5 linked regions of the Xenopus tropicalis genome follow. The protein of the gene in region 3 purifies or fractionates together with the protein of the main gene of each other region. This does not show direct contact. Links are inferred from orthologs where the notes say so. Each region holds a gene or a part of one and is shown on either strand. Other genes may lie near its edges. The genes, in order: sbf2, sbf1, mtmr2, mtmr12 and mtmr10.

Region 1 (6,109 bases), on a different chromosome or scaffold from region 3:
CATCTATCTAAGCGCGTGCTCTCTCTCTATCTATCATCTATCAATCCCTCCTATCTATCTACAGTATCTATCATCTAATGTGTCTATCTATCTATCTATCTATCTATCTATCTATCTATCTAAGCGCTCTATCTATTATCTATCTACATATCTATCTATCAATCCCTCCTATCTATCTATCTATCATCTATCTATCTATCTATCTATCTAATGTGTCTATCTATCTATCCCTCTATCTATCCATCTATCTAAGCACGCTATCTATCTATTATCTATCTATATATCAATCTAAGCGCTCTATCTATCGATCATCTGTCTCTCTATCTATCTATTCTATGTGTCTATCTAGAGCACCTTAAACACTTAGCTTTATGCCAACTTGCTAATGTCCTTTTCCCACTGCTGTTGGTCTGTTCCAGGCTCAATTCTATTCTTCTCTGTAATTATGTCCTGTAGGAACCCGGGCTGAACCAGCAACTGTGCCAGCGTTCTGCCTAACCCATAAACTATCCATCCCTCTATCATCTATCTAAGTGCTCTCTCTCTATCCATCTATCATCTATCTATCTATCGTCAGTCTAAGTGCTCTATCTATCATCTATCTATCTATCGTCAGTCTAAGTGCTCTATCTATCATCTATCTATCTAAGGGCTCTATCTATCATCTATCTAAGTGCTATATCTATCATCTATCTATCTAAGTGCTCTATCTATCATCTATCTATCTACGGGCTCTATCTATCTATCAGTCTAAGTGCTCTATCTATCATCTATCTATCAATCTCTCTATCATCTATCTATCTATCTATTTATCATCTATCAGTCTAAGTGCTCTATGTATCATCTATCTAAGGGCTCTATCTATCTATCTATCTATCTATCTATCTATCTATCTATCTATCTATCTATCATCTATCTATATAAGTGCTCTATCATCTATCTATCTATCCATCTAAGTGCGCTATCATCTATCTACCTGTCATGTGTCTATCTATCTATCCCCCGGTGGGAATCAGTGCCTGTAATACCCCCTGACAGTGCCAGCACCCAGCACCGAGCCCCGGTGGGAATCAATGCCCCTATAACCCCCTGACAGTGCTAGCACCCAGCACCCTCAGCCCTGGGGGGAATCAGAGCCCCTGTAATACCCCCTGACAGTGCCAGCACCCTCAGCCCTGGGGGGAATCAGTGCCACTCATACCCCCTGACAGTGCCAGCACCCAGCACCCTCAGCCCTGGGGGGAATCAGTGCCCCTGTAATACCCCATGACAGTGCCAGCACCCTCAGCCCCGGTGGGAATCAATGCCCCTAATACCCCCTGACAGTGCCAGCACCCTCAGCCCCGGTGGGAATCAGTGCCCCTCATACTCCCTAAAAGTGCCAGCACCCTCAGCCCCAGTGGGAATCAATGCCCCTAATACCCCCTGACAGTGCCAGCACCCTCAGCCCCGGTGGGAATCAGTGCCCATCATACCCACTGACAGTGCCAGCACCCTGAGCCCCGGTGGGAATCAGTGCCTGTAATACCCCCTGACAGTGCCAGCACCCAGCACCCTCAGCCCTGGGGGGAATCAGTGCCCCTGTAATACCCCCTGACAGTGCCAGCACCCTCAGCCCTGGGGGGAATCAGTGCCCCTCATACCCCTTGACAGTGCCAGCACCCTCAGCCTCGGTGGGAATCAGTGCCCCTCATACCCCCTGACAGTGCCAGCACCCGGCACCCTCAGCCCTGGGGGGAATCAGTGCCCCTGTAATACCCCCTGACAGTGCCAGCACCCAGTACCCTCAGCCCTGGGGGGAATCAGTGCCCCTGTAATACCCCCTGACAGTGCCAGCACCCAGTACCCTCGGTGGGAATCAGTGCCCCTCATACCCCCTGACAGTGCCAGCACCCTCAGCCCTGGGGGGAATCAGTGCCCCTGTAATACCCCCTGACAGTGCCAGCACCCAGTACCCTCAGCCCTGGGGGGAATCAGTGTCCCTGTAATACCCCCTGACAGTGCCAGCACCCAGTACCCTCGGTGGGAATCAGTGCCCCTCATACCCCCTGACAGTGCCAGCACCCTCAGCCCTGGGGGGAATCAGTGCCCCTGTAATACCCCCTGACAGTGCCAGCACCCTCAGCCCTGGGGGGAATCAGTGCCCCTCATACCCCCTGACAGTGCCAGCACCCTCAGCCCTGGGGGGAATCAGTGCCCCTCATACCCCCTGACAGTGCCAGCACCCTCAGCCCTGGGGGGAATCAGTGCCCCTCATACCCCCTGACAGTGCCAGCACAGAGCACACTAAGCCTTGAAGGAAGAGAAAGCTCGGCCCCGCCCCCTCCTGGGAATCTCCCCAGTGCGCCTGCGCGCCGCTCAGCTTTCCCTGCGCCCAAACATGGCCGAGCTGCTGCGGCCAAGATGCTGAGGTTTTCCGCTGGAAGGGAGGAAAGAGCGCAGCCATGGCTAGGCTGGCCGACTACTTCATTGTGGTGGGTTACGACCATGAAAAGACTGGTAAGTGCGATGGCGCCCTGCGGGCGAAACACTGGGAATATTGCCCTGGGCACTGGGGTAGGAGGGGGATGCTGGCAGCCTGGACACCCCTACACTTCTGCACATGCAAACACCCCCCCGTACCCAGTGCATGGCGTGGCACATACCATGTTATACAAATAGGGGTGCGGGGGATGGGGTGCATGGCCTACTGCCTGTGTCCCCCCCCCCCCCTGTGCCCCAGTGTTTAGCAAGTTGGGATTGTGTCCCTCCACCCCTCATGTCACATCCTGAGTGACGCACAGGGGGATGTCCTCTCCCAGCACAACACTGGGCCAAGCCTTCTGCTGTGTATCTGTGTGGGGGGATGCAGCCTGGCATTGCCCCCAACATTCACCCCTGCCTGCCGCAGGGAAAGGGTTAATTGGGCTACACTCCCAGGGAAGCAAAGGGTTAATTGGGCTACACTCCCAGGGAAGCAAAGGGTTAATTGGGCTACACTCCCAGGGAAGCAAGGGGTTAATTTTGCTACACTCTCAGGGAAGCAAAGGGTTAATTTTGCTACACTCCCAGGGAAGCAAGGGGTTTCCCACTCTGCACCCCAATATTAAGGAAGGGTCGCTCAGTCTGCACCCCCACATGAGGGAAGTGTTACCCACAATGCTCTTCTAACATAGGGAAGGGTGGTCTCCCCTCAGAACAGCTATTGGAGGGGAAAGGTTGGCCGCTCTGCACCCCCACTGGAGGGAAAGGTTGGCCACTCCGCACCCCCACTGGAGGGGAAAGGTTGGCCGCTCTGCACCCCCACTGGAGGGAAAGGTTGGCCGCTCCGCACCCCCACTGGAGGGAAAGGTTGGCCGCTCTGCACCCCCACTGGAGGGAAAGGTTGGCCGCTCCGCACCCCCACTGGAGGGAAAGCTTGGCCACTCCGCACCCCCTCTGGAGGGAAAGCTTGGCCACTCCGCACCCCCACTGTAGGGGAAAGTTTGGCCACTCCGCACCCCCACTGGAGGGAAAGCTTGGCCACTCCGCACCCCCACTGTAGGGGAAAGTTTGGCCACTCCGCACCCCCACTGGAGGGAAAGCTTGGCCACTCCGCACCCCCACTGTAGGGGAAAGTTTGGCCACTCCGCACCCCCACTATAGGGGAAAGTTTGGCCACTCCGCACCCCCACTGGAAGGAAAGCTTGGCCACTCCGCACCCCCACTGGAGGGAAAGCTTGGCCACTCTGCACCCCCACTGTAGGGGAAAGTTTGGCCACTCCGCACCCCCACTGGAGGGAAAGTTTGGCCACTCCGCACCCCCACTGTAGGGGAAAGTTTGGCCACTCAGCACCCCCACTGGAGGGAAAGCTTGGCCACTCTGCACCCTCACTGGAGGGAAAGCTTGGCCACTCCGCACCCTCACTGGAGGGAAAGCTTGGCCACTCCGCACCCCCACTGGAGGGAAAGCTTGGCCACTCCGCACCCCCACTGTAGGGGAAAGGTTGGCCACTCTGCACCCACACTGTAGGGGAAAGGTTGGCCACTCTGCACCCCTTGCTGGCAGCTGCCCTGTATAGGAAGCCACCATTTCTGCGCACCTGCCTGCAGGCCCAGGGTTATTATCTTTGAAAGAAAATGTGTAATAATTGCACATTGTGCAAAGACACCTGTATAACCTGTTCCTACTGTGTTTTGGTTGTGGAGAAAGAGAGGTGTGTGTCAGGAAAGGATGCTCAGTGATGCCTGCGGCTGCCAGTGGCTTATGGGAGTTGTAGTTCAGTAACAGCTGGAAAGAAGCAGAGAGGTGAATATGTTCTGGTATCCGTCCCAGTTTGGCAAGAAGATGCTCTGGGGCAGTACCGGGCCTATGTACTGTGTATATGCAATAACCTTACACAGGAAACCGAAACAGAAAAAGGGAACACATTCCGCTCAAGTGCAGATAATCTATTTATTCCTAGGGCTCAGCTTCCAATGTATTCTTCTTTTAGGAACAGAATAATCTGCACAGAACATTCCTTCCCTGCCAGATTGCATGGCTTCATTTGCGTAGGGGGCAGCCATATTGCTCTGCCAGCTGAAGAAACCTCCGCAGGCTGTAACGGAACAGCCACCGTGCTGCTGCCATGTACATGGGGCTTTGTAGTTTCCATTGAAAGAGTGTAGGCCTCGAGCTATAATGTGGGTTCTGCTCATTTGCAGAGAAGGAACATCTCGTGCAGATCGTACCAACGCTTTAACTTTACAACCCCTGAAAACGAGCAATGAATGGAAGCTTCCTTTTAATTGGGCAGTGCTTTACTTCCCCTTTAAATTCCCTCACCCTGATTATTGGCCGTATCTTTGTGTTGGATCAGCTGGTCGGATCCCACTTCTGGATCAGAGAGAGAAATAATCTGGGAACAAAGCTGCCCATTATATCATATAATATATAATTATATTTCCGCTCGTTATGTTTGTCAGACAGGGAGTGGAAGTTGCCTGTGGGGCCTAAAGGGGTTGTTTACCTTTAAATTAACTTTGAGTATTATGTATGAGTAATATTGTGAGAAAGTTTGCAATTGGTCTTCATTTTTTTTTATTATTTGTGGTTTTTGAGCATCTTATTTAGCAGCTTTCCAGCAATCTGGTTGTCAGGGCCCACATTTTCCAAGCAACCATGCATTGATTTCAATGAAAGACTGGAATACAAATTGGTCTTCATTATTTATTTTTTATATTCTTTTAATTATTTGCCGTGTTCTTCTGATTCTATTTAGGTTTCCAATGAAGAGGGTCGCTGACCCCAGCAGCCAAAAAACTATTGCTCTGTGAGGCTACAATTTTATTGTTATTGTTACTTTTTATTACTTATTTTTCTATTCAGCTCCTCTCCTATTCATATTCCCGTCTCTCATTCGAACCACTCCCTGGTTGCTAAGGTCATTTGAACCCTAGCAACTAGATAACTGCTGGAGTTCCAGACTGGCAAGTTCCGGAACAAAAAGTGAAATACATTTATGGACTTACTGGCAAACTTGGAGCTTTCTAAACCCGTCGTGTGGTGCCGTAGCTTTGGGCTGATCCATTGCCGCAGTATAGTAAGTATAGTATGGCAACTCCCGCTCAGTGCTGCTTTCTGCATACCCAAAATAGACCTTAGCGCAACACCTTGCGAGGCATTAGTCTTGATGCGTGTTGCTTCTCTCCATCATTTACGCCCACATCCGAGCATCTCGCTGCTTCACGTGGAAGTGTCGGGCAAGGTGGTGTATGATGTTGCCATGGAGATGTGTCGGGGAAACGTCGTCGGCCCATAATTAGCAGAAATACCTAAGTAATACGTTCTGTTCCGGCAGCAGCCAGGTTGAAGGCTCGTTTAGCTGCCAGTTTTGTGAGTAAATATGGTATGTGAATATCCACTGGGCTGCGCTCGCCACTTTGGGCGCGTGAAAGCGGCTCTAAACAGAAACAATTCGATACATTAGTGTCGGAAATACTAGCAACGAATGTATCCAATTGTAACTTCTATATAACTACTTCCACTGTTGCTGGGGACCTGTTAGCCTAGCAACCACTCAGTGCTTTGAATGGCAGACTGGCCGAATCCCAAAATAGTGGATTTGGTGCATCCCTAGTAATAATATAAAGACTGGCTTGAGTTAAA
Region 2 (6,048 bases), on a different chromosome or scaffold from region 3:
GATCGGCCAGGTAAGAAAATCCAGTCGGATCGGGGACCACATTGGATCGTTGATGCAGTCCCCGAAACGACTGCCCCATTGCTGCGCGTAGAATTCGATCGTTTGGCCCCAGGGCCAAACGATCTAATTCGCCTACATGCCTCCCCAATATCACCCACCCGTAGGTGGGGATATCGGGTGAAGATCCACTCGCTTGGCGACATCACCAAGTGTATGGCCAGCTTTACTGTGTGACCACAACTCCAATTGAGGCAAAAATTTGCTGCAATTGTTTTTTTTGAAAAATTCCATTAACTAAGATAATAAATGTCCAAACCCACTGCTTGCACTTTGGCATAATTGCACACAGCACCCCTGCCTTAATCTCCAATGTTGTTATGAATTAAGCACAAGTGATGCAGGGAAACCCTAGAGCCACTAAGCCAATAAAATCAAAGCGTACTGCCTGCATAATTGCTACTATACAGCAAAAACATCTGCAAGACTCTCTTTAGCAAGTACTGAATACAGTGGTGTCTGTTACATCCCTTGCTCATAATAAGCACTGACATGTAGATATATGTTACATTTCAGAATGTTCTAGACTAAACTGGGACTGTTCTCTTAAAAATTGCATTTAACAACATATTACACATACACAGTGACCATGCCCCCCAGAGCAGTATCCCTACACACTTTAAAGGTAATCAAACAAGCAAAAAGTATCTGCACGCTCAGAAAAAGTAAATGCAAAAAGATAATGCATTAATTAAACATAGCCCATTGTGTTTCAACCCAGTAAAGGGTCTTCATCAGGGGAAAAATTAAAAAGGGGGCATTTTTTGCCCCTCATGAAGACCCTTTATTGGGTTGCAACGTGTTGGGCTATGTTTCTTATGATGCGATTTTGTAATTAATACATTTTCTTTTTGCATTTACTTTTTCTGAGTGTGCAGATACTTTTTGCTCTTTTGATTATGTTTGGAGTTACTAAATGGGTTTTCTCCAGTGTCTTTGCACTTCTATTATATATCACAAGGTGTGTGCTCTTACATTTTGCAATACACCCTTTAAAGGAACTGTAACAACAACAAAAATTAGAAATTGTTTTAAAGGACATGTCAACTAAAAAAATAATGTTTTGCCTAATAAAAGAAAACAATTACAAGAAACTTTCAATGTGAAATTATTGAAAAGTCTTAGTGCTTTAAAATTTATTTGTATATGTAATTGCTACTGAAAGTAGCATTTGCTGAACTCCTGGTTGTTAATTTTTCAGCAATGTTGCAAAGGTCAGTCTCCTCCAGTAAGACAGGCCTGTCAGTCTGCTGCCTTGTGTTACATTGTTTCAAATACCAGAGCCACCAGGGCAGAGAATAGAAAAGGGCTGGCAAACACTACTACTAATAGCAATTATAAATACAAATAAGTCAAAAACCATTACAAATGTATAAATGTGTATTGCAAAGTTGCTTAGAATTATGTTTTCTTTTAATAGGCAAAAAAAATCATATTTTGACTTGTCCTTTAAAATAATTAAGCTATAATGTACTGCTGCCCCGCACTGGTAAAAGTGTTGTGTTTTCCTCAGAAAGACTACTATAGTATATATAAACAAGATTACTGTGTAGCCTTGGGGGTAGCTATTCAAATTGAAAAAAAGGAGAAAAATAAGGCACAGGTTACATAGCAGATACAAGAATAACACATCTTATCTGTTTTCTATGTAACATATGCCTTTTCTCCTTTTTTCAATCTGAATAACTACCCCCCCGACTACAGAGTAGCTATGATTATAAAACTATGATTAGCAAACACAAATTTTACCAGTGCAGGGCATTAGTACGTTATATATTTAGTACTTTGATAGACTTTCAATTTTTGTGTTACTGTTCCCTTAACTCAACATAGTTAAAAACAAAGATAACACAAACAGTGAAACAGTACAATATATGCCTTTCAATGATGATGATGATAGATTGGATAAAAACAAGAAAACAAACGAGAGAAGCACACTCTCTTTAGTGAAGTAATAACTACCTGAGCACAATAGACAGAGCTTGAATTCTGTTTACTCTCTTAATACATTCATTAGTCATATATCCACTGAAAGGACAGTACAATATAATGTTCAATACATTCACAAAATGTTAATAGCTGAATCTCTAGATTAAAAAAAACTAAAAAAACTTTACAGGACTCAGTGGAAGGAGCAAAATATAAGGTCTATCTGTATGTGGTTGCAGATTTAGCCATTTTTTGACCTGGCACACTGATTATTGCTTCTTGTATGGGACCAAAATGATGGCCTCACCAATAGAGATCTGGTCAGGGTAATTAATCAGGGTGGAAAATCCTATTAGTTGAGGACCACATCGAGTTAAATATACATTTCTCTTCCAACTGGTCTGAACCAGGTCCCGTGTAATCGGAGGTCTTCATGGCCAAATGGCAACATTACCATACAAGTGGATCTTATTTTATATGGAAGATGGTATATATTGGCCACTGTTCAGGAGGAAAACAGTCTGCCGATGCTTCCCACAAAGATATATAGGGGAAACATGTTGCCTAGATGCGGCATCACCTCTCCTCAGAGCATTTTACAGGCAGTTGTTTTAAATTAATAGCTAGAGCTGCATGTTATAAGGAAAAGCAACGGAACTATGTGGTGTAAATAATGATGGTGATAATACATTTACATTGTTCCCTTAGCACTTTTTAAGAAACAATGTATAACCCTCCCAACTATCAATCAAATATTCCATTAGGCTACTGATGGCTGCAGTAGGTTATTCACTGGGGAGCCACAAATGAAAGCTGTATGGAGCAGCCCATCAAAGCTGCGGCTTAATGTTACCCTGAGCCACCCCAGCTATAGCTGGAATACAAGTGTCACCCTTTCTGTCGTTCAATAGTTATTCCACATTCATTTATTTCACCACATCCACAGAAATGAATCGGCCCCTGTAGAATAGCCCGTCCACACCCACTGCTTCCACCATTTCCCACGTACATATTCAGTACAGACCCACAACAAGCACTGCCTCTGAGTAACCCCCAATCACCCGCAGCTCTGTTTAGCGAATGCGGCCACGTTCGGCCCTCATGCGGCTTTTAAGATATATATCCCGTAATTCTATACCGGGCACTGAATGAATAAGAACGCAAACCACCATACGCATTCGGGCAAGATAAGAAGTCTGGGAGTGCGCATCCCTGCTTCCTTCTGACTAAATAGCTCACCCTCCACAGCTCCGGGTATTCAACCCCACCCCATTCTCACAAAAGATCAATTTTCTTAATACTCCTCAGGCCCGCCTCTCTCACCTCGTTTAGTCAGGTCATACCCCACCACCAGGAAGTAATCCGCTAGTCTCGCCATGTCACCCCGTTCCCCGGGCCGCTTCCTTAGCCCCGAACTCGTCCCGTGGCCGCCATGTTTCCTGCCAGCCGGGCCAGGGACTGCGCATGACCGAATCTGGGCAGGGTCGTGGGGTGGGGCTGAAGCGCTGGGCGGAGTCCTGCATTGGGTCAGGAGGAGGGCACGTTGGTTGATGCCAAGGAAGGATGATGTGCCCCGCGAAAATCTAAACGTTGTGCCCTCACGTGGGCGTAACAAACTGGCAAATGGGCCTTTGGCTTGTGTTTCTCTAGGTCGAAGGGCGGGACTATTTAACCATGTGTATCTTTACTGACAGCGGACTGTCTTCGTCCGCAGCGCTAGGTAAATAATATTAGTAGATAGGTACACTTATTAAGGTGTAAATATGTACACTTACTAACCAATGGCAAAGTATCACCTCTGTAAGGTGGTTAGACTAAAGTACAACTATAAGATCTTTATGCAGAAGCACTCTGAAAAATGTGCAAAAAGTGGTTCATTATTGACCCAAACAGGCCTTTTGCACATTCATAGTGCTTCTGTAGATAGATCTTTTGTGGCAGCATAGTAAATGGCTCACTCTTTATTTCTGTGTCCTTCCCCTGATCCCCCCCCCCCCCGAAAAAAGGGACTGCACGCCAATGAAAAAAATTGTTAAACACTGGAAACAGAATGTACTTAAAACATTCTGAGTACATCTGGCACTCCAAACCACTTAGAGTCTCTAACCTAGTGATCCCCAACCAGTGGCTAGTGAACAACATGTTGCTCACCAACCCCTTGGATGTTGCTCTCAGTGCCCCCAAACCAGGTAGTTATTTTTGAATTCCTGACTTGGTGTCAAGTTTTGGTTGAATACAAACAAGATTTACTACCAAATAAAGCCTCCTGTAAGCTGATAGTGTGCATAGAGACTCCCTCTTAGCCCTTAATTTGGCACCTCCATGAACTTTTATGATGCTATTGCTGCTCTCCAAGTCTTTTTACATTTGACTGTGGCTCACGATTAAGAATGGTTGGGGATCCCTGGTCTAAACTAACAATATTAATGTCCAAATCTAAAGGTGGTTTGGGTGTCCCAGATTTTCTTAAATATTATCAGGCTTCACAATTAGCAGCAATTCCCTTATTTCATGCCTCTTTACCACCTAAATGGGTTAACTTATCAAATTGCACGTAATGCTGTGTCCTGGGTTCCCTATGTCTCTAGGCCCGACAGTTTATCTTCAGTGTTGGAAAATACTCTCCAAATCTGGGACAATATAAAACACAACACAATCTTCTCACAGCTCTGCAGCCCCTATCATAGGAAATCCAGGATTTCTCCCAGGCATAGACAGAAGAGTATTTCAGTGGTGGGAGTTAAAGGGCCTTAACACTCTGAATAATATGTATGGACACTCTGGCCCTCTTAAAGGAGAAGGAAAGTCGTTTTGGCATTTTACTGCCAGTAGATTAGCCACATTAGTGCCACCTAGAATGCTATATTTATTCAGCAGAAAGCTGTACTATACCTGGGTAAAGAGCCCTAGAAGCTCCCTCTGATAGCAGCTGCCATTTTAGTTTGGTCTTGGTAGCTTCCTGCTGCAGTTATAGCCGTTGGAAGCTCATATCACACATTCCTAAGGGAGGGGGCAGGGAGTTCTTATGCAGTCTTATGGGAGGGGGGAGCAGGAGAAAGGAGGAGGAGAGGGAGAATGCCCCAAAGCTGAAAGCCCTAAAAAAGACCAAGTGTGATACTGAAGAACATGTTCAAAAAAAAGAAAACACAAAATCCTGTGTTTCTTTTGATAAAAACTGTTTCTGTGAGTGCTTATGGTTGTATTTACATAGACCTTTCTGATAAAGCTTACTTAGTTTTTACCTTTCCTTCTCCTTTAAATAGGAAAAGTTCCAACAAACCTACTCAGCTCACCTCCGGGAATAGTATAGATTCGTTCAGGTCTCCCATATTCTTAAATCAAAGCATGAAGGACAGGACACTCCTCTGTCTTCATATTTAGAAGCATGTACAACCTTTCCTTACTCTAAAGGGTTGTATCCTGCTCATACCATACTGAGATCAGAAATCTCATTTACTTCAACCCTTTCATATAAGCAGATATGAGAAAAGAAATTGTAATTCAGTAGCTCATTGCTCCATCAACACTTCATTATTGGAGTCTAGCTACAAGTCCCTACAGTGCATATAGCCCATTATGTTTTAGAGGATGTGGAGAAGAGGGTACAGCATACCACACATTGTGTCAATGCCCTAAGTTCAGAAGATTTTAGAGCAGAGTTTATGAGATGATATATTCAGTTACTGGCTATAACATCCACAAGTCGCCAGAACATGCATTACTAGGACATTTTGTCCTAAACATAAGCAAATCTACCAGGATTCTAATTTTGTTGGGTTGAAAAACCCAACCTACTGTTCTTCGACTTCAGCTTATTCTTCCGTTTTTCTTACTATTATTCTTAGCGCCCCCATTTTCTAACCGCTACTCCTCCTACAGTTTTAGGGGTACAACACCCAAACTCCCCACACTTCTTTGCCCTATAGCGAAGCAGGTTGTTTGTGCTTTTCTAAACAATCCCGCCCCCAGTATTTTTGTGGCGCCACTCCCAACATCCCAATGTTTCCATTGACTTTGACAGGGAAGGTTTTCAAACTGCTGCCACACTTACAGCTTTGAAGC
Region 3 (5,803 bases):
CAGCCGGCCCCGTCTGACCCTGATTATCAGCACATGGGCTACTGATTCTGATCTCTGGTTTTCTGCCCCATTTACCCCAGTAACAATGCATGTGGGCTGCCACTTGAATACCAGCAGGGCGGCCAATCACATAAAGGGGTGGTCCAGTGACATAAAGAGGTACTGGGTGATTATGGGAAGGGGTTGGCTGATGATGCAAAGGGGCAGAATACATTTGTAATACTTTACAGTAATAGCGGCACTTGCTTTACATGGTATTTTACTGGCTAGGCGAATGAAATACCGGCTGGGTGGCTGGTCAGTTAGAATGAAAGACCAAAAAAGGAATAGGAGATAATGGGAATAATAACAAATGTGGCTGCAGAATGGCCCAGACAGCCAGGTAGCACTGTAAATATGGGGTTACAGAAGGCAGAGCATAAATAATTTAAATGTCCAACTGGAAACAAAAAATGACATTTTATTTATTATACATAGAAACATGGTGGAGTTATACATAGAAACAGGTGGAGTTTCCCTTTATAGTGTTCCTCTTGGCGCAGATGAAGGCAGGAGAGCAGCTGCAGAATATCAGGGTGCACATAACAATACAGCATCTATATATATATATATATTTCTCCCCCAGCATCCTCCAGCTCCCTCCGTAGAATCCTCCAGCTCCTCCCCTCCCCCAGCATCCTCCAACTCTCCTCCCAGCATCCTCCAACTCTCCTCCCAGCGTCCTCCAACTCCCCCACCCCGTGTTCTCCAACTTTCCCTCCAGCATCCTCCAACTCACCCCCCCTTGTGTTCTCCAACTTTCCCCCCAGCGTCCTCCAGCTCCCCCCCCCCTCGTGTTCTCCAACTTTCCCCCCAGCGTCCTCCAGCTCCCCCCCCTCGTGTTCTCCAACTTTCCCCCCAGCGCCCTCCAGCTCCGCCCCCCAGCATCCTCCAACTCACCCAATGTCCTTCTCAGCATCCTCCAACTCACCCAGTGTCCTTCTCAGCATCCTCCAACTCCCCGTGTCCTACAGCTTCCTCCAACTCACCCAGTGTCCTTCTCAGCATCCTCCAACTCACCCAGTGTCCTTCTCAGCATCCTCCAACTCACCCAGTGTCCTTCTCAGCATCCTCCAACTCCCCGTGTCCTACAGCTTCCTCCTGCTTCGTACGGCTGTGTCCCCAGGCTCCCCCGCTGCATTCTCACTTTTATACGGTTGCACCCCTTGTGTACTGACGTAAAATGTATGCACTGGGCGCGCCCAACAGGATTATTGCTGACCAATGACAGGAGCCCGGAATTGATTAACCCTTTAATGGTAAAATCGCCCGGCCCGGGATGTCCCCCCGATGGCGGCCCTGGGACTGGCCCACCAGGATACCAGGGAAACGCCAAGTGGGCCCGGGTGTCAGTGGGCCCTCCTGCTTCTATTTACCAGAGTTGGCCCATGGGGGACACAGGAAAACTCCCGGGGGCCTATTTCTTGGGCATTCCCTATTCCTGTATGAGAAGAAAGAGATACTAAAGAGACTAAATGAGCAAAGGAGGAATTACAATGGGCAAGTGGGAATAATAATAAAAGGTTTCCTGTTGGCCTCTGGCATCTCAGTCCCACACTGGTAGCATCTGAGCCTCGGCTTATTTAGCCACCTGAGACCGCTCAGTAACCCCATTCCTACCCCTCTCCTGTCCCCCTTCTTGGAATGAGTGGCTTGTATTTATATTATTGCCGCCTGCGGACTAGTTCTCCCATTACGCCATAGCACAAGCGCCCCTGTGCCACAGACGGGACAAAACTGTGACACCTGCCCTATAATGTGGGAGGGACTGCTCCGGCCCATGGTTAAGCCCCGCCCTGGGCAGGTTGCGCCTATGCTCCGCCTGTAGGTGTCGCTGTTGCCGCTAGTGCTGGCCGTGCGCATGCGCTGCTGGTATCGCGATCCCGAAGTGCAGAAAATATCTTGGGGTGCGGGAAGAAGCGCCCCCCGATCTATCAGCCGGGTGAGTAAGGACTCGGGAGTGCGGGGCCGGGGAGTGGGTTGCGCTGTAAGACGAGTAGAAGCTGAGCGGGTTAGAGCTCTGGGTCAGGAATCGCCAACCTGTTGCTGCACTACAACCCCCAGTATCTCCCGAATGGGAAATCCTTGCGGTGGGATTGTGGGAGTTGTAGTTCCGCTAAATCTCAGGCACCGGGGTCTCACTGATTGTTTCCGCACCAATAACAATAATAATAACAGTAATGGTACCTTCCTGCCTGGGGCAGAGTTGGGCACAGTTGGCTTCTCTCTCATATTGCGGATCAGGGTACAGCTGGGGCTCTGTTACACAAGGAACTACAAACACAAACTTAGAGAAGATACTGGGAGTTGTAGTTCCGCAACAGATCCTGCCTTTTCTGCAAACATGGAGGGCCCCTGGCAATGTAGGGATGTGGGATGCCCAGCCTGCAGCCCTCCAGTTGTTGTACTACAACTCTCAACATCCTCCAGACATTATTTGACTTGTAATTGGGGCAGTCAGGGGCCTCTAACTGTTATTGATCTGCTCTACTGTACCCCAGAGAGGGGGTTGGGGTGCCCAAAGCTGTTATTGGGGCAGGGGCAAGCAGCTAAACACCAGTCTGGGTAAGATTTGCTATAGGCATGAGTCAGTATAGTACATATCCTGTTATAAACTAATGGGGGGGGTTGAACCCAGCCAATCAGTACTTAGCTTTGACTTCTTCATTACAGTTAGGGGTGATTTATAGCCTGTGTGAGTGCCCGCTGCCCAGCTGTCAGTAAGAGACAGGTCACGGCATTGCCCAGCCAGTGAAGCAACAGCTGGGGGTACAGACATCTGTGCAGCTGGCTCCCCAGGGGGGCAGAATACAAGTGTATTGTTATAATGTGTGTGTACAAGTGTATGTGTATAATGATATATAATGTATATATAGGTGTATAATGATAATATACATACAAGTGTATTGTTATAATGTGTATGTACAAGTGTATGTGTATAATGATATATAATGTATATATAGGTGTATAATGATAATATACATACAAGTGTATTGTTGTGTAAGGATAAATAGTGAGATGCCAGTCACACCCAGAATCCTCTTGTGTTGGGAACGTAAATATAATTATATTCCATTAGTTTCCCTGTAGCAGTTAATGAGGCGCTGGGGTATAAAGGGCAGCTCATTTATTGAAGTGCAACTGTCGGCAGAACATTGGCCAAGTTGGTTCGGCTAAAAGCTGCCCATACACGGGGAAGGACTGCTTGTTTGGTGGGTGAGGCCAGCCGGGTGCTAGCCCAAATCAGGCTGATCTAGTCCTATTCCCAGGGGCTTATCCAGACCCATCAGGGGAGGGCCCCCTCCTCCACATGCTGGCACCCCCCCTTCCCCAGTGACTCTGGGTTTCCTTGTCCTTTAAAAGAACAATACCCTGTGTGCAGATTTCCTTTCCACTTGTGGAACCTGTGGTTCTGGTGTGGTCTCTCCCTAACCAGGTCGGAGGTCTGGAACCTGTTGTGTTATATATTGTTATAATGACATAAATATAGCAATAAAATTAGAAAAATAAATCCGCAGAAGGCTGCAGGCTGAGTTATACGGGGAACTCTGAGTATCACTCATGTATTATAAGGGATAATGTACCCCCTACTGTAAATGATAAGGATATTAGCAGTCACTGAGGGGTTCTGTGCCCATATAAAGGCACAAGGCTGCAGGCTGAGTTATACAGGGAACTCTGAGTATCACTCATGTATTATAAGGGATAATGTACCCCCTACTGTAAATGATAAGGATATTAGCAGTCACTGAGGGGTTACTTGCTGTTGCTATAGAGTAACGCAGCACTGAGTGCTAATATTGCGTGTCGATACACCAATAGGGAAGCACAATAAAACAAAGCTTGTGATAAAACTGCTGATTATCCCAGTTAATGAAAAAGGGAAACGCTGCAAGAATCAGCTGATCAGTTTGGCTTTCTATCCTCAGCCTGAAGCATCTTTCCATCCACAAATATATTATATTTCTGTAGATGAAGGGGAACCCCACCTAAAACCTGTTTTTTACCTAATGAAAGAAAATAAAGTTAATTGTAAAAATACCTGCTCCTGAAAGCAGTGTTTGTTTATCCCTTTCTCTTCTCTGGTTCTGATAAGCTCCTCCCCCATTTGGCTGGTTCTGATAAGCTCCTCCCCCATTTGGCTGGTTCTGAAAAGTTCTCCCCCGTTTGGCTGGTTCTGATAAGCACCTCCCAATTTGGCTGGTTCTGATAAGCTCCTCCCCATTTGGTTGGTTCTGATAAGCTCCTCCCCATTTTGTTGGTTCTGATAAGCTCCTCCCCATTTGGTTGGTTCTGATAAGCTCCGCCCCTGTTTGGCTCCTGTGCTGCTAACATTCTATCCTGCGAGGAGCTGCCATACTGTGTAATTCTGCCCCAGGTTTGCTCATTACCCAGGCAAACAGATAACACATGACGGGCACACCCAAACACGGGCACATTTGCGCCATTCCAAATAAACGTGTGCGTGTATGTAAGCATGTTTGGGTGTGTTTGTCTGTTATCTCTTGTGTCTGACAGAACCACCAAACCTGTGGTTTTTACTCCACACCCTGTTAATTAGGGCATCTCGTTAGGCTGGGAGAGAATGAGAAGCACATATTATTTTTATTATCCTTTATTTATATACCAACATATTCCTCAGCGCTTTACAGAGATTATGCATCAGTCCCTGCCCCAGTGAGCTTACAATCTAAGGTCCCTATCCCATTCCCATCAGTCCCTGCCCCAGTGAGCTTACAGTCTAAGGTCCCTATCCCATTCCCATCAGTCCCTGCCCCAGTGAGCTTACAATCTAAGGCCCCTATCCCATTCCCATCAGCCCCTGCCCCAGTGAGCTTACAATCTAAGGTCCCTATCCCATTCCCATCAGTCCCTGCCCCAGTGAGCTTACAATCTAAGGGCCCTATCACATTCCCATCAGTCCCTGCCCCAGTGAGCTTACAATCTAAGGGCCCTATCACATTCCCATCAGTCCCTGCCCCAGTGGAACTTACAATCTAAGGTCCCTATCACATTCCCATCAGTCCCTGCCCCAGTGGAGCTTACAATCTAAGGTCCCTATCCCATTCCCATCAGTCCCTGCCCCAGTGGAGCTTACAATCTAAGGTCCCTATCACATTCCCATCAGCCCCTGCCCCAGTGAACTTACAATCTAAGGCCCCTATCACATTCCCATCAGCCCCTGCCCCAGTGAGCTTACAATCTAAGGCCCCTATCACATTCCCATCAGTCCCTGCCCCAGTGGAACTTACAATCTAAGGTCCCTATCACATTCCCATCAGCCCCTGCCCCAGTGAACTTACAATCTAAGGCCCCTATCACATTCCCATCAGCCCCTGCCCCAGTGAGCTTACAATCTAAGGCCCCTATCACATTCCCATCAGTCCCTGCCCCAGTGGAGCTTACAATCTAAGGCCCCTATGACATTCCCATCAGCCCCTGCCCCAGTGAACTTACAGTCTAAAGTCCCTATCCCATTCCCATCAGCCCCTGCCCCAGTGGATATTACAATCTAAGGTCCCTATCACATTCCCATCAGCCCCTGCCCCAGTGGAGATTACAATCTAAGGTCCCTATCACATTCCCATCAGTCCCTGCCCCAGTGGAGATTACAATCTAAGGTCCCTATCACATTCCCATCAGTCCCTGCCCCAGTGGAGCTTACAATCTAAGGCCCCTATCACATTCCCATCAGTCCCTGCCCCAGTGGAGCTTACAGTCTAAGGTCCCTATCACATTCCCATCAGCCCCTGCCCCAGTGGAG
Region 4 (5,375 bases), on a different chromosome or scaffold from region 3:
ACAGATATTCTATATATATTAGCAAATACAGCCTACAGGAGTGTTTCAGCTAATTGCACCACCCTGAGCCTTCAGCTATCATCATTTTTCGGGGAGCAGGCACTCATTGAGCAATTCTTCAGGCAGAATTCTTCATTAAAATTAGTTTTATTGGACTACTTAATCACAAGCCTAAGATTACGTGTCTCTGAACATGAAAAATATAGGGCGATTGTTCATGGTATTCCAATAAAACTACTTGTAATGAAGAATTCTGCCTGAATTGCTCACTGAGTGTCTTCTCTTCAAAAAATAGTGATATTCATTTGTGACACTCCCTAGAATCTTTAAACTACTGATGCACTGCATTGGTTCTGCATCCTGTGCGTGTCTAGTTTTCAGGATCATGGGAATGTCACAACTGAAAACTGATTCCTTAGTGTTCAGCTGCACCAAATTTGTATCCTTAGACAGGATCAGACAGTGTATTTTTTTGTTTTGTTTAGTTCTTACCCAAAAAGGTCAACTTCCACTTTAAAGCTTTGGACAACCAAAGAATTTTTTTTAAAGATGAAGGAAAGTTACAATCACTGGGCGTATGTACTGTACCCCAGACTGGTGCAGTTTTCTCCTAGGACGAGCACCGGCCCGGGGTATCAGGTAAATGATTTTGGCACCCCCCAGTGATTGTACCTTTCCTTCTCCTTTAAAGGTATTTAGCCAACCCTTTTTTGAAGGATCTGGTATTAAGCTAAACCCCCCAAAATAATTCTGTGGTTCCCCCAACATGGCACCTCATATGGGAACAGGCTAAAAAAAAAAAGACACTGGAGCACATTTATAAACACTGGGCAAATTAGCACCTGGGCAATAACTTATAGCAACCAATCAGTGATTCGCTTTTCTTCACCAGCTGCAAATACAACCATGAAAGCAAACACTTGATTGGTTGCCATGGGTAACTGCCCAGTTGCAAATCTGCCTAGTGTTTATAAATGACCCTGACTCTGTTCACACAAAAATGGGGGATTATGAATGATCTTTTAAAGTTCATATTCCTCAAGAACAGGGATAAGGTCCACAGGCTAAAATACCTCCTACGAGCCCTGTGCCTCACAGCAATAAATTGATGCGCACTACCTGATGCGCATCAATGTGGCAAGTATCTATTTTAACATCTATCCGCTCAGTGTTCAATCTACCTTTCCGATACTTTGTAGCCCTCATTGGCAGTCAGTACTTTGTAATGCAAGTTGCCTTTAGTCCGCTCTAGCTCTGCCATCCAGTCCTTCACGGTCTCAAACATCAACGTCTTTTCCATAAAGGAAGTTACTACAAAAGGGCAGAAAATATAATAATTGTAAGGCCAAATGAGCTTCCTGTTTCTTGCATAATGAAATACATTAGCCTGCATCAACATAAAATAATTAACATACACTAACCTTTGTATCGTGGGACGGCTGCTGCGTATGAAAAAAGGAACAGCCGTTTCAGTAGCTTAGGGCTCTGAGTATGATGAATTATACCGCTCACAATCTGCAGGGGGGAAAAAACACACTTATTAATAAAAAGGCACACTCAGCAGGGTGCAAATCAACTTCACTGATGCTGGGATACATACCTAGTGCCATCCCTTACATTTTACACATGTATATTCATGTATTACATACGTACATATATATATATTATATAAGCTGGCCAACTACGTCAAAGTCTTCCCCGGTCTTGCCAGTCTTACACACGCTTTTATCTGATTCATTATGAATTTTACTGCTTGTATGTATGTATTTATTTATGAATGTATGTATGTATATCTTTATAAAGTGCCACTTATGTACGCAGTGCTGGGGGTTACTGCAATAATAGATAAATACAAAGTATGATAATAAACACAAATAAATACAAGTTATGGCTGCAATAAGTTAAGAATCAAAGAGACAACAGGTCCCTGTCCTGTTACAATCTAAATATACATTTAACAAAAATATTGAATTTTACCTGCAACTTGCTTGCTTTCAGGGTTAAAATCACCAAATGGCTGCCCTTTTATTGGCTTGTCAGGTGATCCCAGTGGAGCCAATAAAAGGGCAACCATTTGGGTGTTTTGGCCTTAAAAGCAAGTAAGTTGCAGGTAAAACTCAGTCCCTTTGCTAAATGTATATTGAAGCAGTAGAATTCTTAATGAATCAGATGAAAGCGAGTGTAAGACTGGCCAGACCGGGGGTGAGTGAGTGTAGGACTGGCCAGACCAGGGGGTGAGTGAGTGTAGGACTGGCCAGACCGGGGGTGAGTGAGTGTAGGACCGGCCAGACCGGGGATGAGCGAGTAGGACCGGCCAGATCGGGGGTGAGTGAGTGTAGGACCGGCCAGACCGGGGGTGAGTGAGTGTAGGACCGGCCAGACCGGGGGTGAGTGAGTGTAGGACCGGCCAGACCGGGGGTGAGTGAGTGTAGGACCGGCCAGACCGGGGGTGAGTGAGTGTAGGACCGGCCAGACCGGGGGTGAGTGAGTGTAGGACTGGCCAGACCGGGGGTGAGTGAGTGTAGGACCGGCCAGACCGGGGATGAGCGAGTAGGACCGGCCAGATCGGGGGTGAGTGTAGGACTGGCCAGACCGGGGGTGAGTGAGGGTAGGACTGGCCAGACCGGGGGTGAGTGAGTGTAGGACAGGCCAGACTGGGGGTGAGTGAGTGTAGGACTGGCCAGACCGGGGGTGAGTGAGTGTAGGACTGGCCAGACCGGGGTGACTGTGACACAGTTGGGCAGCTTGTATATATTGCAATATAGGGACAAACAATCCCTGTTTTGCTTAAAAGGGAGGGCATTGCTTAGTAGCTTAATGCACAGAATGACTTAACGCCCAAGAGAAGCTCTTGTTACTGTCTGTATATCACACTTCAAAAAGCTTCTTGATCTTGTTTTGCAAGATCAAGAAGCTTTTAGCTAGTTGATGGCTGACAAATGAATACGCTTCCTGTCTGGGTGCTACACAGAGCTGCTGCGGCTGTGATGCATCTGGGGTGGGAGGATTGCTGCTCATTTCCTTTTTCTCAGAACTTCCCCTGTAAACAAACTTTTGGTGCGCCGCAGAGTTTCATTTACTCCTACATGTGAACTCGTCGCATACCTTGATCAATTCACAAGGCCCGCAGAGCAGACAGAATAGGCCAAACCTCTAACCGCATAAACTTTCCCTTGGACAGAATTCTCAGGTTATGCACAAAAAAATACCTTATGTCTACGTTCATTGTACAGTACTCTGTTTCACTCTGTTAAAGGGAACATTACTACTGTTTTCACTTTCACACTGGCCAGTGATAATGTATATATAAAGGGAATAAAAAAAAACAATGCCACTTAAATTGTAGGGCTTTCCTAGCTTTAAACCGATGGCAGATTCTGCCTTGCTTTTATTGGTTCATTTATATTTTTATGTCCCGTAGGAATCCTCTCCAATCTTAAATCTCTCCATTCACTCTAAATAATGTGGTAAAACTCTCACAGACTTTGGTGCTGTAGTCAAGGTGGATGCCTGGTCTGGTCTGTAATTCAGGTGTGTTCAGAGCAAAGTAACGGCATTCTGTCTAAACCCATAAACACCCACTTCAGGGATCACAATGTGACACAATTGAACGTGCTGAACAGGCGACTAATCTCCCCGCAATGCCATCCCACCGGCTAGAATGTAAATCGGCGGTGGGATGGCATACACGTCACTGCAATGTCCCGCAGTTGCCCGAAGTTTCCTCTCAAGGCAACTTCGGGCGATTTACATTCTAGGCGGTGGGATGGCATTGCGAGGAGATTAGTCGCCCGCGACAACGAAGATTTATCGCGGGGCGACTAATCTCCCCGTGTACCCCTGCCCTTAAGGTGAGCCCCGGCAAAAGGTTGGACATCTAAGTGAGGCTTGAACTGGAAAAACACAAAGGACAACCCATTCTTTAGGTGAAGTTGATAAATTTGATGCAGCGTGATCAGAAGATCAGTGTGGGATTCACCAACATGCAGAGAAAGTTAGTCCCATAGCAGGAGAAGCAAATGCAGCAAATGTGGGGGAAGGGGGGCTATGCACTCATATAAAATAAAAGTTCCAGATAATCTTTACAAAGGGGGCAGAGTATTCATTCCACTAGCTGGCCATTTGGAAAGTCTAGAGAGAGCAGTACAGATCCTGTTGCTAAGGCAGTCAATGATCCTAGCAATGAGACAAGCTCTGCCAAAGTGATTATGTTGAGTATTTGAGGCAGTTTACATTCCCTCTACTGCTATGTGGGGTCAGCTCAGAAGGGGTGTAAATACTATACTATATTTCATCCTATTTCAGGACATCTAAAGCTCTGTTTTGTTTAGCCACAGCAGGCTGTTATTCTTCAGGCACAAATGAGCAGTGGTCTCCTGAGAATGTAAGACTGGCTGCTATATTTACCCTCTTGACTTCCTCTTGTTTAGTGTAGCTGAGGCAGAAATGAAACACACGGAAGTCCTTGCAATAGACGATGAGCCGTTCTGGGTATTTCTTCAAACCTTGCCCGGACAGAATAGCTTTCTTTTTATCATCATATACTGAAAAGGAAAATAAAATGCTATTACTGTTATACTTTATTCATATAACACCAACATATGATGTATAGTTTTACAAAGAACTTTTTCCATTCTCAATGGAGCAGGCAGTGTTCAATAGGCTAACCCCAGGTTGGCATCAGCCATTCTGGAAAGGCAGAACACAGTGGGGATAATTCATAAAGACAGGGCAGTAACCCATAGTAACTAATCAGTGGTGAGATTTTTCCATCCTACTGCAGGTTGAACACTGAAAACAATCATCTGATTGGTTGCCATGAATTACTGCTTAGGTGCAAATTTGCCCAACCTTTATGTTCTCCCGATATCCCCACCTAAGGGTGGGCAATATCAGGCTAATTCAGCCCATTAGAACGGCGGGTATAGGCCTGATCGAGAGCTGGCCGATTTCAGGTCAGATGTTAGTACCCATACAAGGGCCGATAAGCCTCCGAATGAGTCTAAAGGACATATATCGGCAGCTACAATCTGCCCGTGTATGGCCACCTTAAGAGTCTGACTAGTCGAATTTATATTAGAGCCCTGGCTCAGACTGCTTTTGCAACTGCAGCTTATCTTTCCTCCGCTGACGCTCCCAGCTTAATAATTAACTTGTGATTTGGTTGATTAATATTGCTTAATGAAACTTGAGATTCCAGGTAAAGATAGAAAAGGAACAACAAAGCAGATGACCTTGAAGGGTTTTTAGCGGTAGTGAATGCAACAAGTGGCCAACTGTGCAGAAAAGGCCAGTTACACCAGGCATTAGTGGATATGTTTTTTTCTGCTCTTGCAACAAATGTCTGCCTCAGACATGCTGTCTTACCTTCTTTC
Region 5 (6,089 bases), on a different chromosome or scaffold from region 3:
ATACAGAGTATGCCACAAACAAACAAAAAGCATTCAGACCACCCCTCAAAGAGTGTGTACTGGTAACAGAGCCACTAGCAGAAGCACAGCTTTCAAAATAGCTGCAGAAATATCTAACAACAAATGCCAGTGACCAATCCCAAGTTCACATTAATTTCTCAAAGAACCAAAAGATGCACAAGCAACTGGTAATACTGATGGCGCATGCAAAGAACCTAACATTAAAGTGATACCGACACCAAAAAATTTCTTATAAAAATATGAACCTACTTCCAAACCTACCTATAGTTCATAGTTACATAGTTACATAGGGTTGAAAAAAGACCAGTGTCCATCAAGTTCAACCCATCCAAGTAAACCCAGCACACCTAACCCACACCTACCAATCTATACACTCACATACATAAACTATAAATACAACCACTAGTACTAACTGTAGATATTAGTATCACAATAGCCTTGGATATTCTGATTGATCAAGAACTCATCCAGGCCCCTCTTAAAGGCATTAACAGAATCTGCCATTACCACATCACTAGGAAGGGCATTCCCCAACCCCCTCACTGCCCTCACCGTGAAAAACCACCTACGCTGCTTCAAATGGAAGCTCCTTTCCTCTAATCTAAAGGGGTGACCTCTGGTGCGTTGATTGTTTTTATGGGAAAAAAGAATGTTGACTGTTTTTTCCTAAAAGTCTTGTTTCTCTACATAAATCCTACTGAAAATCCTGAACCCGACTGTCTGGCAACCCGACTGTAGCTTTTCAATCTGTCAAAAGGACTATGTCATAAACTGGGAAGATTCAGCTTGCCGTTTGGTTCAAAGAGTTCCCCCTCCGTTCCTCCCTCCCTCGCATAGCATTGCATGGTGTTGTGAACTAGATAGCAGGCAGGCTTGATCTTTCTATTGCCTGCCTACTTCAAAGGGCTGTGCCCCCTCTCTGCTCTTCCCACAAAGAATTAAATAGCAGGCCAGCTTAAGTTTTCCCGTGCTTGCTTGCCTGCCTGCTTCTAAGGGCTCTCCCTCCCTGCTTCTAAGGGCTCTCCCTCCCCTTCCCCATTACACATAGACAACGGAGCTGAGCTTGTCACACACCGACTGAAAGCAGAATGGGCATTGCAGGTTTGTGATTGGGTATATTTATTCACTTGGGAGGCATTTAAATTAAAACCCGGAAGAGGGGAACAAACATGACAGCTCCGTGGGTCTGTAATTCATGCTACCATAATTATGAAGCGAAAACACTTTGCAGATTTAGTTTATAAGGAATTTAAAGCTGATACAAATGAAAACACAACAGCAGGTGTAAAAAAAAAAAAAAAAAATTAAGTGGCTGTCAATATCACTTTAAATCAGATTAAAGCCACTTACACTTCATGCAAGAGGTAAGAAACCTTTACCATCACTCTTGCAGTTTAGAACTACAAATCCCACCATCTCCCTTAACACATATGCAAATTGCAAAAAACTGGTTACAACCAACCATGCATTTCACATCTTAGCACCCTGCCTAGAACTTTGCAGAACAGGCCACAGAGACTTACACTTCAGAGTGAAGCCTAAAGACCTGCACTACCCCCCATAAATATTTCAGTACCAGCATTCAACAGCACTGTAATTATGAGAAAAGGGCTGAGGAAGGAATATAGGTGCCCCCATTCCACCTGCTTGTCATGTACAAGTTAGTAAATGCCAGTGGGCAAAAGGTGCAAACTAACTGCATTGTTTTGACAACATGGATTTATCCTAGTTATCATCAACTACAAGGGACTTATTATTTGTTATTTAAATAGGGTACACCAGAGCTTCAGAGCTTTAGGATGACAAGTTTTTTGATAACCACTTGCCTTTAACGCAATTCAGGTTCAATGCTAAGTCATGGTTGGCTCACTCCAAGTAGGAAGAAATATTTTTTTTCAAGACTCAGATATACCCACTCTAGCAATCTTCTTTGTCTATGACATACCCACTCTAGCAATCATCTTTGCCGTGGATATACCCACTCTAGCAATCTTCTTTGCCTTGGATATACCAACTCCTTTCCTAGGAATGCAAATCAATGCCTTGGGCACGGTCAGATTAGTAATGTGTCTCACTGTGGTGTCTGCTAGAATGGCCCGATTCACTATTCTGCGTATGCCTGAGGCTGATTTGCATGCAGGGGATCGGAAGAGGATTGTATTCACTGAAGCATTCAGAGCCCCCTTTTTGCATGGAAATAAAGTTGGCTTTTAGAACAAGAGTGCAAGTGCCCCTAGCCCAATCACTGGGACAAGCTGTACACCATGTTAGATACTTTTCAAACTTCTTTCCAATTCACTACATAAGGGATAAGGGATTTCAATCAGTAGCTAAATTAGAAATATGTCAATCTGCTGTAACATATTATATAGACCGATATCTATATATATATATCCTGCCAAATGCAGCATCACACCTTGCTCATCACACCTTGCTATAAAGAACAACATATATTCCAGTCACTGCACAGGTTCAACTGCTAGGCTTAAAATAAGGCAAACCACGTGCATTTTATTTAGCACCCTTACTGCTAACAGCAGAGTGCTGTACAATAAACAGGGGTATACGTCAATTCGAAATGCACTATAAGAGTAAAAAAGGAGCCCTGCTCAATAAAGCTTGTAATCTAAAAGGAGAAAGGGTATGGCACCCAAAGTGGAGTTATGGGACACAAAGCATGAGACATTACTTAGCTTTATACAAGCCAAGAAAACTTTCACAATCTGAGTGTAACATTGCCATTGGGATGTAAAAGTGCCAGTCTTTGTGGGTAGCTTTTTTTATAATACCCCCCTCCCCCACATTGATCCCTAGGAGGCAAAGTTAGGGGGGTTGCAAAATGAAGAGAACATGCCATGCCTTCTCTCCAGCAGAGATGCCTGCCCTCACATTCCAGTTGAATGAATGGGGCAGCACAAATGTCAGCCCTTTTCTGCATGGTGCATCAGCTTGTATTAACCCTGCCGTAATGCTTGATACATAAAGCCGCCAATAAAAGAATAAATCAATTTAATTACAATTGCCCTTAAGATATAATGATGTTTATAGCGACTGATTAACATATTATTATGTAATTTATTGGCAAATACCTTTTAAGCAAATAATTAGCACATATTTATAGTGTGTTCTCCAAATAGTTGTTAAAACAATTGAAACCAACACCATGCTTCCAAACTTCTGAACTACATGTCCCAGCATTCTTATGTAGACAAAGTGCTAGAGGTTGGGCACCTCTGTGCCATATTAGCGTGCCATCAATCCGCTACATCTCACTGATAATCACTTACCTGGCAGAAGGACAGGTTTCAACTTTTTTATCTTTGTCTCTGGATTTAGTTTGTCTTCTTGCTGCAAAAATTTGATAAAGAAATCAAACTTAATGTGGGTGCAAACATACATGCAGGCAGGTGTGTGTGCACCCCAAGAAACCTGACACCCCAGTTCTTGTGTTTGTAAACTACAACTCCCAAATCTTGATACTGAAAACCCACACTAAGCAGCCACAGGTTGCCAATCAGAGGCTGGGATGCACGGATCTCTATACCCTGCCAGGGATGTCACGTCAGAATAACAGCAGCCCAATTGCAACTCTGCTTCAACTCCCAGAATCCTCAGCCAGCCTGGTGGGAGTTGCAGCAATGAGACGGCAACGGGCTTAAAATCCAGAACTACACAGATGTGTAACGCCTGACTAGCCACTCACCTGAGGGGGCAGAAGGTAGGATTTAAAGGAAGGTTTGGGTTGCCTGAGAGAGAACATTGCTGAGCCACAAGTAGTATGGTTCCGTAGCCCAGAGAACTGGAAGCCCGAAGCCAGCTGGAACAGAAAGCACACAGGGCAGCTCCTCTCCTGAGCCCTGGGTTTCAGTGCAGTCCCTCCAGCACTCGTCCAGCCTCCTTCATGACTGGGCTTTTCTGGCTTTTGTTGCGTCTCAGGGCAGACATTTCCCCGTGTGAGAGTCTCTCCCACACGCACTGAGTATTTGCATTGATTTCCTGTGAGCCTGTCCCCCTTCTCTTTCCCTGGATGTGCACATGTGCAGAACTGCTGCTCTCCTGCTTGTGCTTATGGAGTTGTGCAGCGCCATCTGCTGACCGAATAATGCATTGCTGCGGCTGCCTTGCATTTCCTCCACATCCCTTCCTTGTTCATTCCACCTCAGGTTGTTTTGTTTGTGCCTATGCTCTTCAGAGGAGTCTTATAAAAGAATAATAACTCCAATTATATTTTGTTACTTCAATTTCCGTTTACTACTACACTTTTAAAAGATTGCGCCCCTGGTTCTCAACTAGACTTGCCTCCTGGCAGGTATTTTATCGGCCTGTCTGGTAAAAATGGCGCTTGAGCCCAAACTTATAAAGAGGGCAGAAAGAAAAAACGATAGGAAGGGCGGTATTTTTTTTTCTAGAAAAGTTGGCAACCCTATTCTCAACTATTTCGGGTTTCTTTTTTTGCAAACAATGGAAGACAATTTTGCTTTATGGGATTTTATATATGGTCCCTGCATCAGACGCACTAAACCACAATACACATCTATTCCCCTTTATATGAATAGCTCATAAACAGTTACTGTACTGTTGCTTGGAATGCCTGTGACTGGCTTAACAATGAGAGTGAAAGCAGTTTAAAGAGGCAATGCAAACAGAGGCACAGTACTTAGGGCAGTGGCACATGGGGAAATTGCTCACCCACAGTTAATTCTTGGCTATGGAGGGCAAGTAATCTCTCCAAAATTCCTTTCCACTGAAAATAAAGTGAATTGCCAATAGGAAGGCTTACAGGTGTTTGGTTTTCCGAAGTTGCCTGTAATTCCCTGCTCAGGATTTAGTAACCAGCCCGAAAGCATTGGATTATATGAGAATCTTATTTTCTGCATGCTGATTTGTACTGACCCTAAACCTAGCTTTTCAACAGCTACTCAGAGCACACTGAACATGCGCAGCATCACTGACATCCCTAACAAAATACAAGATCCTATGCACAACGTTAAAGGCCTAGATCATTACTATTATAGAAATGATGAATGTTTAGGCTTGTGCACCAAGTTCAGTATATAAACGATGGTGTTTCTAGCCATATTCATTGTGAGCTTAATTCCCCTTTAAAAAAAGCAAAAAGTTAAAATAGTACCAAGATGGAGGCTGTTACTCCTTATATCTTCTGAATTTTTTGGCAAAGAGGTTTCATTATGTATGCTAAACCCCTTTTTAGTGGGGTTGGAGCAGTAATGCAATACATTTCTTGCAAGATTTAAGCCAGAATAAAGGGTCTCACAGGAAGGATCTTTGCTGTAGCCCATTAGTATCTTAAAATGGCCTTGTAAGAATGGAGTCCACCTAACAGGATACTGCTTTAGGGCTTGTAAGAAGGGAGTCCACCTAACAGGATACTGCTTTAGGGTTCTAACCACCCTGTTCTGAGCACCCAAACACTAGATTAAGTTAAAGTAAGTAAAATATATATGCAAAAGCCTTTTTAAAGAGATACGGACACCAGAAATGAAACCATTTTTACATCTATCATTACATTGCCTTTGCATGCTATTTATAATTTTGCCATAAAAGTATTTGCCTGATGCTTTTACATTCCCTATCTGATCCCCCATGTTCCCCTATGAGGGGGCGGCCATATTTGTCCAGCAGGAGTCTGTTAGCGTTAGAAGCTATAACTGACAGGCTGAGAAGGGACAGTCAGGTTGGCAAAACAGTCAGGTTTTGGGATTTCAATAACAATTACTTACAAAAGCAGCCCTATCAGTAAAAAATTATCAACATGACCTATAGGCAACTTTTTATGTAGATTTATATTTTAAAAAGTTGTTTTTTCGTGTCAGTATCACTTTAACATTTGAATATCTAATACAGAAAACTAGCCACATTATTACGAGCCAGTATTATGGCTGCAACGTAAGTGAATCCTTGGATAGCAACAGACAGATTTTTGTGGGGAGAATGGATTCTTTTGGGTGGCATGGCACACTGTTGTTACACCTCTGATCTCCAATGAGGGCATGTCCTTTCTGTTGTAAACCAGACAACAGACTGTTAACAGTAAATCTAAAAACATA

What was found.
Region 1: the proteins of mtmr2 (region 3) and sbf2 purify together in Homo sapiens (affinity purification with mass spectrometry; 3 studies listed by BioGRID and IntAct, with this or other methods). This does not show direct contact. The link is inferred for Xenopus tropicalis from reciprocal best matches to the Homo sapiens genes MTMR2 and SBF2.
Region 2: the proteins of mtmr2 (region 3) and sbf1 purify together in Homo sapiens (affinity purification with mass spectrometry; 6 studies listed by BioGRID and IntAct, with this or other methods). This does not show direct contact. The link is inferred for Xenopus tropicalis from reciprocal best matches to the Homo sapiens genes MTMR2 and SBF1.
Region 4: the proteins of mtmr2 (region 3) and mtmr12 purify together in Homo sapiens (affinity purification with mass spectrometry; 5 studies listed by BioGRID and IntAct, with this or other methods). This does not show direct contact. The link is inferred for Xenopus tropicalis from reciprocal best matches to the Homo sapiens genes MTMR2 and MTMR12.
Region 5: the proteins of mtmr2 (region 3) and mtmr10 purify together in Homo sapiens (affinity purification with mass spectrometry; 5 studies listed by BioGRID and IntAct, with this or other methods). This does not show direct contact. The link is inferred for Xenopus tropicalis from reciprocal best matches to the Homo sapiens genes MTMR2 and MTMR10.

What each region holds. Positions count from the first base shown.
Region 1 is NC_030680.2:7,292,950-7,299,058, reverse strand, and holds the start of sbf2 (myotubularin-related protein 13), read left to right. Parts: upstream 1-2,327; 5' UTR 2,328-2,444; coding exon 2,445-2,499; intron 2,500-6,109. UniProt on the Homo sapiens protein: Guanine nucleotide exchange factor (GEF) which activates RAB21 and possibly RAB28. Promotes the exchange of GDP to GTP, converting inactive GDP-bound Rab proteins into their active GTP-bound form.
Region 2 is NC_030679.2:89,325,825-89,331,872, forward strand, and holds the start of sbf1 (myotubularin-related protein 5), read right to left. Parts: upstream 3,431-6,048; 5' UTR 3,365-3,430; coding exon 3,310-3,364; intron 1-3,309. UniProt on the Homo sapiens protein: Acts as an adapter for the phosphatase MTMR2 to regulate MTMR2 catalytic activity and subcellular location. Promotes the exchange of GDP to GTP, converting inactive GDP-bound Rab proteins into their active GTP-bound form.
Region 3 is NC_030678.2:164,724,338-164,730,140, reverse strand, and holds the start of mtmr2 (myotubularin-related protein 2), read left to right. Parts: upstream 1-1,893; 5' UTR 1,894-1,981; intron 1,982-5,803. UniProt on the Homo sapiens protein: Lipid phosphatase that specifically dephosphorylates the D-3 position of phosphatidylinositol 3-phosphate and phosphatidylinositol 3,5-bisphosphate, generating phosphatidylinositol and phosphatidylinositol 5-phosphate.
Region 4 is NC_030677.2:200,723,257-200,728,631, reverse strand, and holds part of mtmr12 (myotubularin-related protein 12), read right to left. Parts: intron 4,545-5,375; coding exon 4,408-4,544; intron 1,516-4,407; coding exon 1,422-1,515; intron 1,312-1,421; coding exon 1,182-1,311; intron 1-1,181. UniProt on the Homo sapiens protein: Acts as an adapter for the myotubularin-related phosphatases. Regulates phosphatase MTM1 protein stability and possibly its intracellular location. By stabilizing MTM1 protein levels, required for skeletal muscle maintenance but not for myogenesis.
Region 5 is NC_030679.2:96,952,207-96,958,295, reverse strand, and holds the start of mtmr10 (myotubularin-related protein 10), read right to left. Parts: upstream 4,083-6,089; 5' UTR 3,782-4,082; coding exon 3,725-3,781; intron 3,370-3,724; coding exon 3,309-3,369; intron 1-3,308.